Notamacropus eugenii: one gene and its partners. The protein of the gene in region 1 interacts with the protein of each later gene in a pairwise test. Links are inferred from orthologs where the notes say so. Each region holds a gene or a part of one and is shown in the gene's direction. Other genes may lie near its edges.

What was found.
Region 2: the proteins of DVL3 (region 1) and KAT7 interact in a two-hybrid assay, tested with the Homo sapiens proteins (2 studies listed by BioGRID and IntAct). The two-hybrid records come from large-scale screens. The link is inferred for Notamacropus eugenii from reciprocal best matches to the Homo sapiens genes DVL3 and KAT7.
Region 3: the proteins of DVL3 (region 1) and SYT6 interact in binary tests that used the Homo sapiens proteins (3 or more experiments, as listed by UniProt). The two-hybrid records come from large-scale screens. The link is inferred for Notamacropus eugenii from reciprocal best matches to the Homo sapiens genes DVL3 and SYT6.

What each region holds. Positions count from the first base shown.
Region 1 is NC_092873.1:57,206,060-57,209,805, reverse strand, and holds the start of DVL3 (segment polarity protein dishevelled homolog DVL-3), read left to right. Parts: upstream 1-1,043; 5' UTR 1,044-1,186; coding exon 1,187-1,347; intron 1,348-3,746. UniProt on the Homo sapiens protein: Involved in the signal transduction pathway mediated by multiple Wnt genes.
Region 2 is NC_092873.1:350,925,531-350,929,276, reverse strand, and holds the start of KAT7 (histone acetyltransferase KAT7), read left to right. Parts: upstream 1-1,236; 5' UTR 1,237-1,434; coding exon 1,435-1,449; intron 1,450-3,608; coding exon 3,609-3,746. UniProt on the Homo sapiens protein: Catalytic subunit of histone acetyltransferase HBO1 complexes, which specifically mediate acetylation of histone H3 at 'Lys-14' (H3K14ac), thereby regulating various processes, such as gene transcription, protein ubiquitination, immune regulation, stem cell pluripotent and self-renewal maintenance and embryonic development.
Region 3 is NC_092873.1:293,290,294-293,294,039, reverse strand, and holds the start of SYT6 (synaptotagmin-6), read left to right. Parts: upstream 1-789; 5' UTR 790-1,369; intron 1,370-1,536; exon of another isoform or gene 1,537-1,614; intron 1,615-1,803; 5' UTR 1,804-2,169; coding exon 2,170-2,332; intron 2,333-3,019; exon of another isoform or gene 3,020-3,201; intron 3,202-3,746.

The sequences.
Region 1 (3,746 bases):
CACAAATGACCAGCAGGGCCATTTAGCAGCAAGTAAATGGCAGAGGAAGGGGATTGATGATTGTTAAAGGTTCAGAGAGGGAGGGCTGCCCACTGAGGAAGCCTCTGAGTTCGGGGGAGGGGACAGCAGGAACAGGACTAAGCCAGGAAAATTTGCAAAAGTCCAAGGAGGACCTTGGAATCAAGTTCGCTTTCACAGAGTTCATAAGGCAATAATTTCTTGAGACACAAGATGGTGCTGAATACCTCAGGAAAGCAGCTGGGACAAGTGGTTGGACCCACACTGGCCAACTGTTAAGGCTTTAAGGAATTGTAACATTGGTGGAGGAGATGGAGAAGTTGGCTATGGCCTCTTTCCTGGCAGAATGCCCCTGCTGGCCTGATTCTTATCAAACACCGGATGGAAGACCTGACTGCCTGCTGGTCAGATGGCCACTGGTACTTTTTCTGAGCATCTCTTTTCTCATCTGTAAGATGAGGATTTGTACCTCGAGTGGAGGACAAGGCTTAGTTATGTTGACTAGGAAACCAAGTCTTCACCTCCTGATAGACCTCCCTTAGCCAGTTCCCCCCTTGTAAAGAGCTGGGCGGCAGCGCTCCTGGCCCATGACCGGGCTGCTCCGAGCTTGCCCTGGAAGGCCCCCCACCTTGAGATCGGAGGTGGGAACAGAACCCCTGGCCTTGGATTCGGAGGCAGTTGCCATGCCCCTGAGGAGCTGTGATTGCGGCTGGACTCGCGGCGGAAGGGCCCATCCCGGTCCGTCGGGTTCTAAGTCCATCCCCGGGTTCTCCCCTACACCCGGGGCCACCCCGAAGCCTCCGTGGGGCTCACAAAGACTCGGAGAGCGGCCAGGGCCGTGGAGGGCCACTCCCCTCGCCTTTAAAGAGCTGGGAAGCCGAGTCGTGGGGTCGGGGCGCAGCGGAGGGACAGTGACCGGAGAATCCCGGGGCGGGGCTGCTGAGGAGGAGGGCTGCCGGAAGAGGCACCAAAGCCAGGGAGATTGGGAGAGCGGAAGCTGGAGAGGGGGGAGGCGGGGAGGCGGCCGGGCGGCGCTGGGACCCGGGGGCGGCCGCAGAACAAGGGAGCCGCTGCCGCCGCGGCCCGGAGAGCGAGCCGCCGAGCGCAGCGCCGCGCAGGCATCGGAGCCCAGCGCTCCGGCCGGGTCCGAGGCCAGGGCGCCGGGACCATGGGGGAGACCAAGATCATCTACCACCTGGACGGCCAGGAGACGCCGTACCTGGTGAAGCTGCCCCTGCCCGCCGAGCGCGTCACCCTGGCCGACTTCAAGGGCGTCCTGCAGCGGCCCACCTACAAGTTCTTCTTCAAGTCTATGGACGACGACTTCGGGTGAGCGTGGGCGCCGAGCGGGGAGCCCGGGGGCAGGACAGCGCCGAGGGGCCTCCGCCCAGGCCTGGCCCGGGGGGTGGGGGGGGCGGTGCCCACCGGGCACCCGTGCCAGCTGGCTGCCAGGAGCAAAACTTCGGGCTGGTGGGCGGTGCCGCCGCCACCGCACCCCCAAAGTGGCGGCTCTTTGGGGTCCCAGGGTCAGGTCCGCGGGTCTCGGGGGCTCCTCCTCTCCAGGCTGCTCGGAGCCCTAAGGGGCGGGAGCCACCGGCGAGGAGGATCTCTTTTCTCCGGGAGGCCCGGCCGGGGCTCTCCCCCTTTCCCCTTCGGGGCCTACACTCTTGCTCTAAGCCAGCCCCAATGCCCAGCATGGGGTGGGGGGGGATTTAGAAGAGAGACTTTCCCTTTAAGAGGGGATGGAATGTTGGAGCGAATGTTGCTGCAGCCGGAAGGTTTTGTAGCAGCTGGCCTGGAGAGGCCCCCCTTTCCCTCCTCCCCCTCCCCCCCAGCTCCCCTGGGAATGGGGGAGGGGCTCCCACTCAATCTGGCAGGAGAAGGGACTGGGGGCTAGGCTAGGAGGCCCCGTGGGGGTGGCCTGATAGGCTGCCTCCTCCGCTCCCCCCGTCCCCAAGTCTGGTTCTCTCCTTTCTCCACCCGGGTCCTGCTTTGTGGAAGGGAAGACCTCGAATTATGGGGAGGGGGTCATTCACCGTCCAGCCAGCTTCTTCTTCCAGGCTGGCCCATCCCTTCGAACAGAGAGAATCACTGGAGATGATAATACATGTAAAGTGCTTGGCCGGATCTGCAGATGTCAGCTCCCAGTATTACGGTCCTGCCCTGGCCCAGGAGGTCTCCATTTCTTACCCCTCCAGTTCTCTTGACCCAGGCAGCAAGAGGAGCCAGCAAAGAGGGCACCTGGGAGAAGACAGCAGGGTCAGGACCTTCAGTGGAGTTTGACTAATTTGGCCACATAGACATTGAATTCACCAAACATTGATTAGGTGCCTACTGTCTGCCTGATACTAGGAAAACAAAGAAAAAAGGAGCCTGCCCCTGTCCTCAAGGGGCTTCTGTTCTGCTCTATAGAACGGCAGACAGTAAATGGTACAGATGCCTAAATATGTGAGGTCACTTGAGAAATTGAGGAAGGTCTTCAGCAGGTTAGATGGGATCCAGTAGGATGAATTCATGGGAAAGCATGAATGGATTGAGATTTGCATTAGTGGAGGAGCCAAGTGAATCAGTTAGTTCATGGATATGTTGGAGGGTTCTTGAGGAGGGATTCAGGAAGGCTTTACTGGAAGAACTTACTCTGAAAGGAGAGAAGAGTTTTAAAAGAGAAGAGGGAGGAGGGCATCTTAGAGATGGGGATAATTTGGACAAAAGCCCAGAGGTAGGAAATGGAGCTCGTAGGCCAGCTTGGTTGGTATGTAGTAGACAAGAAGGAGGGTAGCATTAAAGTCAAGATGAGGAGTTTGTCTTTTATTCTAATGGCAAGGGAAGGCTCATGAAGGTTTGTCATCATTGATTGGATTTGTGTTTTGGGGAACATGATTTTAGCACCTGCATGGGAAGGGAAGGCTCATGAAGGTTTGTCATCATTGATTGGATTTGTGTTTTGGGGAACATGATTTTAGCACCTGCATGGGATGACTAGGAAAGTGGGAGACAAAGATGATGAGGGCCTTTTGAGCGGGATTTTAAAAAAAGGGGGGGGACTGTTGTGGGAGATTTAGAGGTGGAATTGACTGGATATGTCCTAAAAGGAAGAGGGAAGATGGAGGCTGAATGTGAGCTAACCACACTGGGGGTGTAGAGGAATGGTAGAATCCTCAACAGAAAGAGGGAAGTTTGGGGAAGGGGAAGGCTTTGAAACACCAACTGGACTTCCAGGGTGACATGTCCCCATTGTTGATGGACACAATTTGTAGGAAAGAAGCCAAAGAGGAAAATGAGGAGTGGATGGAAGATGGAGTAGTGGAAGTGGATGAAGAGATATATTGACGTGTGCTCTAGGGAAGCCAGCTAAGGGACTCTATGGGGCTTGAGTCTGGGGGCGCTTCTGGGAATATAGGGCTAGGGTGGTCTGGGAGACCCTATCCTGATCCAAAAGACTTTTCTTGCCCACTCCCTCCCCCTACTTCCAAAGGATTCTTTGAATACTAGTAGGTACCAAGAGTGTCTTGAAAGTGAGACCAAGGGATCTTGAACTCGTGCTAGAGATCAGGAAGGACCTAGGGGCTGGTGGTGCTTTATTGGAAAATTTGGAGCTAAGATAGCAAACAGACTTAGGAAGATGACAGAAGAAGAAATGAAGATTAAAGGTGATGGTGATGAAGCAGGGGCTAGAAGGATGACAGGGAGTGGGGAGGTTCGTTAATAGCACAGTCAAGACCCTGGGG
Region 2 (3,746 bases), about 290 Mb from region 1:
GGTTCCTAGAGTTAGCGTCTGAACTCAGGCCTTTTCTGATTCCAGGTCCAGGGCTCTACACACAGTTAAACAAAATGGATTCCTCCGCTAACTAGGCCCAGAAATATATGTCTCATTCTGTATCTTGACTTCATCACCTTTCAGTCAGGAAGCAGTTAGCATACGGTCTTCTGGTCCTGTGGAATCCTGGTTGGTTCTTTGCACTGATCAGGGTTCTTAAGTCTTTCAAAGCTGACTTTACAATGCTGTTATATTGTCCGCTTACTTCATTCTGCGTCAGTTCGTATAAGTTGTATCAAGTTTCTTTGAAACTAACCCTTTGTTAATTTCATACGATACAGTAGTGATCTGTTACACTCCTGTATCATAAGGTTTTTTCCTTCCCTGATTTAATGGACACTTGCCTGAGTTTCCAGTTCTTTGGCACTCCAAAGGAAACCCCTACATTTTTGTGCACATAGGTTCTTTTCTTTTTCTTTTTGATGTCTTTGGGGGTATAGACTCAGTAGTGTTATTGCATGCACAGTTTAGTGATTTGGGGGGTATTGTTTCAATTTGCTTTGGAATGGCTGCATCAATTCACAACTCCACCAATAGTACATTAATGTACTTTATTCCCCTCCTCCCAAGCCCCTCCACCATAGCCGATTTTGCCGGTCTTTGTGAAATGATTCTTAGGCTTGCTTTAATTTGAATTTCTCTAAGTACTAATGATTTGGAGTATTGTTTCATGTGGATTTTGATAGCTTGGATTTCTTCCTTTGAGAATTTGCTTTTGATCATTTATCAATAGGAAATGATTCGTTCTTATAAATTTAGATTCCTTTGTAAACGATAGGTTTTCAATACAGCTTATTTTAGAAACGTCACATTTTTTATAGTCAAGTTATAAAAGGGTTAAATAAAGGGTGAATGGGGGTGGGGTGGGTGGAAATAAGAGGGCTTCCTTCCTGCCTCCATTAAATTAATAAACCCAGGGGGCAAACTCTGCCCACCGTAAGGATGAGAGGAACTTGAACTTCAACGGCAAATTGTTTAAAGGTTTTTTTTTTCCCCAAACAAAGATGGCTGACTATACAAACCAAGCAAACCTTCTCCTAACCAATCAAAGATGGCTACCATATCTGATACCATTTGATGGAATTTTTGCCCAAGTCCAAGATGGCGGGAGCCGCCCTCAACCGCCAAAGGGACGGTCGCGGGCCGCGGTTTGGGTCAACAGTGTCACATGACATATTCCTAGCCGGAAGTTGAGGGAAAGGCGCCGCTGGCTGAAGCGCCTGCGCATTAGGGTAAAGACGCTGGGAGGCAGGAGGGGACTTAGGCTCGTCCTCAAGAGTTGGGACCGTTAAAAAGGCCGCCACGGAGCCCGCCGGAGCTAACGCTGCTGCTGCTGCTGCCCGGGTCGGAACCGCCGGGCCGCAGCCGGCGGTGATGCCGCGAAGGAAGGTGAGAGAAAACTGGGTACTTGGCGGGCTCTTGAGGACAGCTTGGTGCGCTGCATGAACTCTGGTCCCGCCCCGTAGCGGCAGCATCCCCTCCTTCTGCACTGCACAGTCCAGCTGTGGAGCTACTTTCTCTGCCCGAGTCCGGCAGGAAAATGCGGGCAAGATACGGGCCTCGGCCTTGGCTTGCACTATTCCCGTTTTCTGGTTGGTTAGAACGGGGGCCTTTTCTGAATTTCAATTGGTCACTCGGATGCGGAGAGCCGCATTCATTGGCTGACCACGCCGCCCGTCTGGGCCCAACGGTCACCTCCCCGCGTGCGGGGGTGGCTGCCGGTCCGGCCCTAGTAGGCCCCGACTGGCTGGTGGCAGCGATTCCTCTTCCACTGATTGGTTGATTCCGGCAGTCTGTCTCGCGGGGCCACGCCCCTTGATTAGCTGCGTGGGGTTGCCTATTGGCTGGGAGGACTTCCTTTCCTCTCTTCCGCTTTGGCGATTGGTGGGGGGCGGGGCTTATTGAGCCTTCATCCTTTCCCAGGTGGAAGACATAACAAAGCGACTGGGTTCTAGGTTGGGGTGAGAATCTGCCCCCCAGGAGAGTGCCCCGCCCTCCCCAGGATGTGGATGCCAAGACTCTTGGCAGCAGCCTAGGCGGGAGTGCTTATTACAGTATTGGGGGTGGGGGAGCAAAACTCCCAAACTCCAGGTTACCTCTTTCTTGGAAAATTGACTAGTAGAGTTAAAGTTTTAGCTCAACGCGTTCATCGTCCTGGTCATCATCACCATCACCATCCTTATCATCATCATTGCTAGCATTTATCTAATTATTTAAGCCTTGTGAAGTACTTTACGACTATCTCATTGGATTCTTACTATAACCCTGGGAGATAGACGCTATTATTCCCATTTGACAGATGAGGAATCTGAGGCAGATAAAGGTAGAAAGACTTGTTCAGGGTCGTACAGCTAGGTTGCGACTGGATTTGAATTCAGTTTTTCCTGACTTCAGGCCCAGCACTCTTACCACTGCACTTTACCACCCAATTTTATTCTACACGTGAAAAGCTGAGTGCCAGAGAGACTAATTTGACTGAAGTCACACATTAGGTACTTCCTGACCCAAAACTGCCTCACTTAACCTCTGGATGTGTTGCCCTGAAAGCATTCTAGGCAGGTGATGGATTCTGCAATTTTTCTTTACGAAATTTTTTACAAGTATATTTGAGTTTAAAAATACTACCATCTTAGAGTTTGAAGGGAAATTTGAGGTGGTTGTCAGCCTTATAGATCATCAAATTTTTGAGTGTCCTTTGATTTGGTGGCAAGTTGGAAAAAGATCGATAGCTTCTTAGGTATTTAATTGTTGAGATCATTGATCCATGTGAGTGCGTGTCTGGTGTGGAGGCAAATATGGTGTTAGTTCTCTTAGTAAAATAGCAATCTATCTTGAAGAGCCTTTTGCTCATGAAGATATTTAGAAAATGCTAATTAAGGGAGGTGAAAAAGGTGCTTTGAGCACCTTTTAACCTTTATGTGGTGAAGCTTCAAGGGGAGAGAGTATGGGGAGGGCAAAGGAATTTCCCTATTTAATTTGGCTTGCGTTCTTTCCCTTGAAATGCTCTTCTACAGAGCATGGGCTCTCATATATTTGAGTTAATGTCTGTTTCCTTTCAAATGTGACAGATGTTTAGAGAGAGTGAGAGATTCCATCATGACACTGTAACATTGGGACTTAAACAAAAGCTGTTTTTAGAGGCACAAGGGAAAGAACCTGGCACTAATTCCTCTTCTCAAACCTGACCCTGTGAGTTCTTGGTCACATCAATCCAGCCTTTTGAAGTTGGTAGTTTTTATTTTCAGAATGTGAAACTGATGGTAAAGTTGCTCAGATCTTCCCAGGGATTTCTTAAAACAGAGTCAGTGATACTGCAATCACAATTTATTTACCTTAGGACTAAATAAAGGACCATGTATTGTTTAAATGAAATATACTAATTTCAGGGAAGTTGACTGTGGGCTGATAAGAGTATTGCTCATAACCTGAGCTTTGATTTTTATATACTTAAAGTAACTATAATATCACATACTGTTTTACTTCTGTTATTAATGCAAATTTAAAGAATAAATGCTCCCTTGCTAATGTCTGGATCTGTGATATTACAGAGGAATGCAGGCAGTAGTTCTGATGGAACCGAAGATTCCGATTTCTCTACAGACATTGAGCATACAGATAGTTCGGAAAGTGATGGGACATCCCGGCGATCTGCTCGAGTTACCCGCTCCTCAGCTAGGCTGAGTCAG
Region 3 (3,746 bases), about 240 Mb from region 1:
CATCTGAATCCTTGTCTCTGGATTGCTAGCATTTGGAAGTGGAGGAGATACAAATAAGCTCTCTTAACACCTTAGTTGGGCCTTAGAGACATGGGTCACACTCCCAGATATCGAACACACACACACACACACACACACACACACACACACACACACGGCCTTGTCTGACTTTAAACAGTAAAATGCCACCAGATCTCCCCTCCAGGAAAGAAGACTTCCCTGATTTCAGGGTATGTTAGAGTTGACTATCTTCCTGCAGCATAATCTCCTTTCTTTAGTTTCTCAATTCCCTCCGCATCCTTCCTCACCCTCCAACACCCCCCCACCCCACGCAGCCACTGTCACCCATACCTAAGGACCAAGGCAGAAAGGTAGTCCCTTCCCAATTATCACGTACCTAGCTAGTCAAATCACATTATGAACTCAACTCCATGCTGTTCTGAGACACACACACACACACAGAGAGAAAGAGAGCGAGAGAGCGAGAGAGCGAGAGAGAGAGAGAGAGAGAGAGAGAGAGAGAGAGAGAGAGAGAGAGAGAGAGAGAGAGATCATCAGCACCTTGGACAGAGGTGGGGCCCCAATGGGATGAGGACCAAGAAACCTTAAAAGCTAGATGAAGCCTTTTTCTCTGGTCCTTGCAACCCAACTATTTCCCCCTAGGATGGGACTGCATAGCCAGCTGGGAAATGGGGGACTCTGATGGGGGGGGGGTGGGGGAAAGTCAGAGGAGAGCTACATTTCAAAAGGGTCTGCCTGGGGTGGGGGGTGGGGTGGGGGATGAAGGGGTTCACAGATGGCGCGTGCTGTTGTTACCGCCAAAAGCCCTCGCCGAGAATCTCAAAGCTCCGGAACGTGAGTCACAGCCCGAGCCACTTCCAATTAGTGTGTTAATTAGAAGTAAAGACCCTCCTCCCACAACCAGCCCGGGAACAAGCCAACCCGTGGCTTCCGGAGGCTACCGCCAAAGAATGACTTTCAACCGCTAAGAAAGGAAGTGAAGACCATGGCTAAAATGCCAGGCACAGGACCTCGCTTCCACTCCGAGAAAATGGATCGTACTCTGTTGAAGAAGAGATTCGCACCGTCTCATCCATGCCCCTGTCTCTGAACAAAGTAGCTCCTCCCCTAACCCACACCGTCAGGCAGCCGCAGAGTAGATCTCTCCAGAGCTGAGAGATTTATCTCCAGAAAGAGGGGAAGGGGTTAGATGGATGGAAACGTCCTAGATTCGTTCAACTGGTGCTTAATCTCTCACTTCACTGTGTGGGGAAGTTCTTCGTTTTGTCTAACCTCAAGCCCTACCGTAATATTTTCGGTCTGTTTCCATCTTTATGGTGAAGCTTCCCGAAGATACGTGGGAAATGAGGTGCGATTCGATCCTGAGGGAGGGGGACGGACTTGAAAAAGGACGACCCGGTGAAGTGTCGTCTCTTCCCGCCCCCCCCCCCCCCCCCGGCCCATTTCTCCTGAAACTTTTCCCTCTCGTTGCCATGGAGAGAGACAGCCGATGCCTTCTGTCGCCATGGCAACGAGTGGGTGACGCGACCAGCGGATTGCGGGGTTCTAAAAGCCCCTGAACCCCAGTCCCTCTCCTCGCTCCACAGTCCTGGGGTGAGGATAGATTTCCCTCTTATTAAAAAAAAATACTGCAAGTTTAACCAACTTCCTTCGCCCAGCGGCCCGAACCCCTCCCTCAATTCTGTTCTTTTTGAGACCTGGGAGCCTTGGGTTCCTAAGATATGCCCTTAGGATCCTACTAGTCCTGGACTTAATCACCCTTTATTTTTTTTACTTCTTTAGCCTCCAAGGCATCAATCAGTCTCTCCCTCTTTCCAACCCACTCCCCAATGACACAGTACTCCGACCAGGACCAGACCAGACACTGAAACGTAAAGAGGGTGCTGACGAGCGGGAACTGAATTTCTCTGTGGTGTCTGTATCTCACTAAGGGGCGGAGACCCCGTAGACAAGTGGTTAAAAGCCTAGACTGGCAAATGCAAGTGCGGTGACTCGCCTGGGGCTGTTTGGGGGAGGGTCTTCTTGCGGACCCGCCCTGTCCCGCCCCAGCCCGACAGCAGCTGGGGACCTGGAACGGCTGCAGGGAGCTGGGCGGGACGGGACTAAAGCCACAGTGCACTGAACAGGGAAGGGGGGAGGGTCCGGGGCATGAGCAGGGTGGGGGGGTCCGAGGAGGCGAGGTGCCAGGCGGCGCTGGGAATCCTGGCCTCGCTATGTCAGGGGCAGCCGCCCCCCCAGGGTCTGGACTTGGAGACTTGTCGGAGTTTCGAGCTGCAGCCCCCTGAGCGGAGTCCGAGTTCTGCAGATACAGGTAACTGGGCGATCCTTCGCCCTCCCCTACTTTCCCTGCCACAACCCCTCTTCCTAATGCGGAGATTCTTTTTCTCATACCTTCCCTCCCCTAAGAGCAAAGATTAGATTGAAGAGGAAGGAGCAGACATTTCTTTCCATCCATTCCCTTAGTGCCATGCTCTGGATTCGGATCTTGCCAGTGTCAGAAAAAAGGGTGCTGAGGAGTGGGGCTGGTGGGAGGGGGGGTGTTGTTTTTTTCCCCTCAGAGTGCGACTCGGAAAGCTCCTAGTGTAGAGCTAGACTCTTCGGTTTAGTTCGGGGACCCTCTGCAACTCGGGAACAGCGCTCCAATGTGCCTCAGTTTCTTCTCTCTGAAGGATGGGGAGATTCTGTTCCCACAAAGAGAAGGCAAAATACCCAGGGAAAGGTCAGAAGAAGAGATGACAGACCTCCCCAGCTGCAGAGAGCTTTGTGTCTCTGTCTCTGTTTCTACATCTCTGTCTCCCGGGAGGTGCAACTGCCCCCACCCCCACCCCGGACGGTAGCTAGAAACTTGCGTTGACTCTGTGCCTCCATCGCGGGTTTTGGTGTACCAGTGCCTTTTTCTGGCTCGGTCTATTTCTCCGTCCCCGCGGGGGGGTGGGGGGGGCGGGGGAAAAGGAGGGGGAAGGGTGTCTCCGCGTCCCCGTCCCACCCCCTACCACCACCACCTCTATAACTCGCTCGCGCTCTCTCCGTGACTCACTCGGACTCGGGGCCGGTGCGGGGACTGAGCCGGTTCCTCTCTGACTTTCGGAACCCGGCGCCTTAGTTCCAGTAGCCCCCAGGATCCGACACCCAGAGCCGGCCCCAGAGAGGCTGCGGAGCCAAAGCGGGAACCCGAGCCGGGTGAGTCCCGAGCCCGGAGCCCCTACGCTGGGGCCCGGCGGCGGCCGCAGTGGCTCGGCGGAGTCGCGACAGTGGGCTATGGGCAAGCTAGTCACCGTGGGGGACTTTGTGGTGCCAGAGCCTGGAGGGGGAAGTACTGGGTCTAGAGTAGGAGGGGGCGTTTACCTGGGTTTCTGAGGACCTGATGAGCTTCCTGCAGTACCCCCCCCCCCCCATCTCGCAGCCCTTGGTCTGCAGATGTTGATTCTTTGTCCAGATTCCAACATCTGGTGGGGTGGCAGCACAGCGGGATATAAGACTTAAGGTGGGGGTACTCGAAGGGAGCGAGGAGATTCGAGGTCGGCCCTTCCACACCTGCGAGTAGCCGAGATTCTCAGTGGGGAACTGGGGTTGGCTCGGAGGGGGTGTCGGGAAATTCTACAGAGATGAAAGGAAGACTGGGGGTCTATCTCAGCTCCCTAAGCCCCACTTCCCTCTCCTAAGTCCCTGGAGGAATGGGGGTCATTGTAGAGCAATGGGGGAAAGCTCTCAAGGCCTCACCAGTG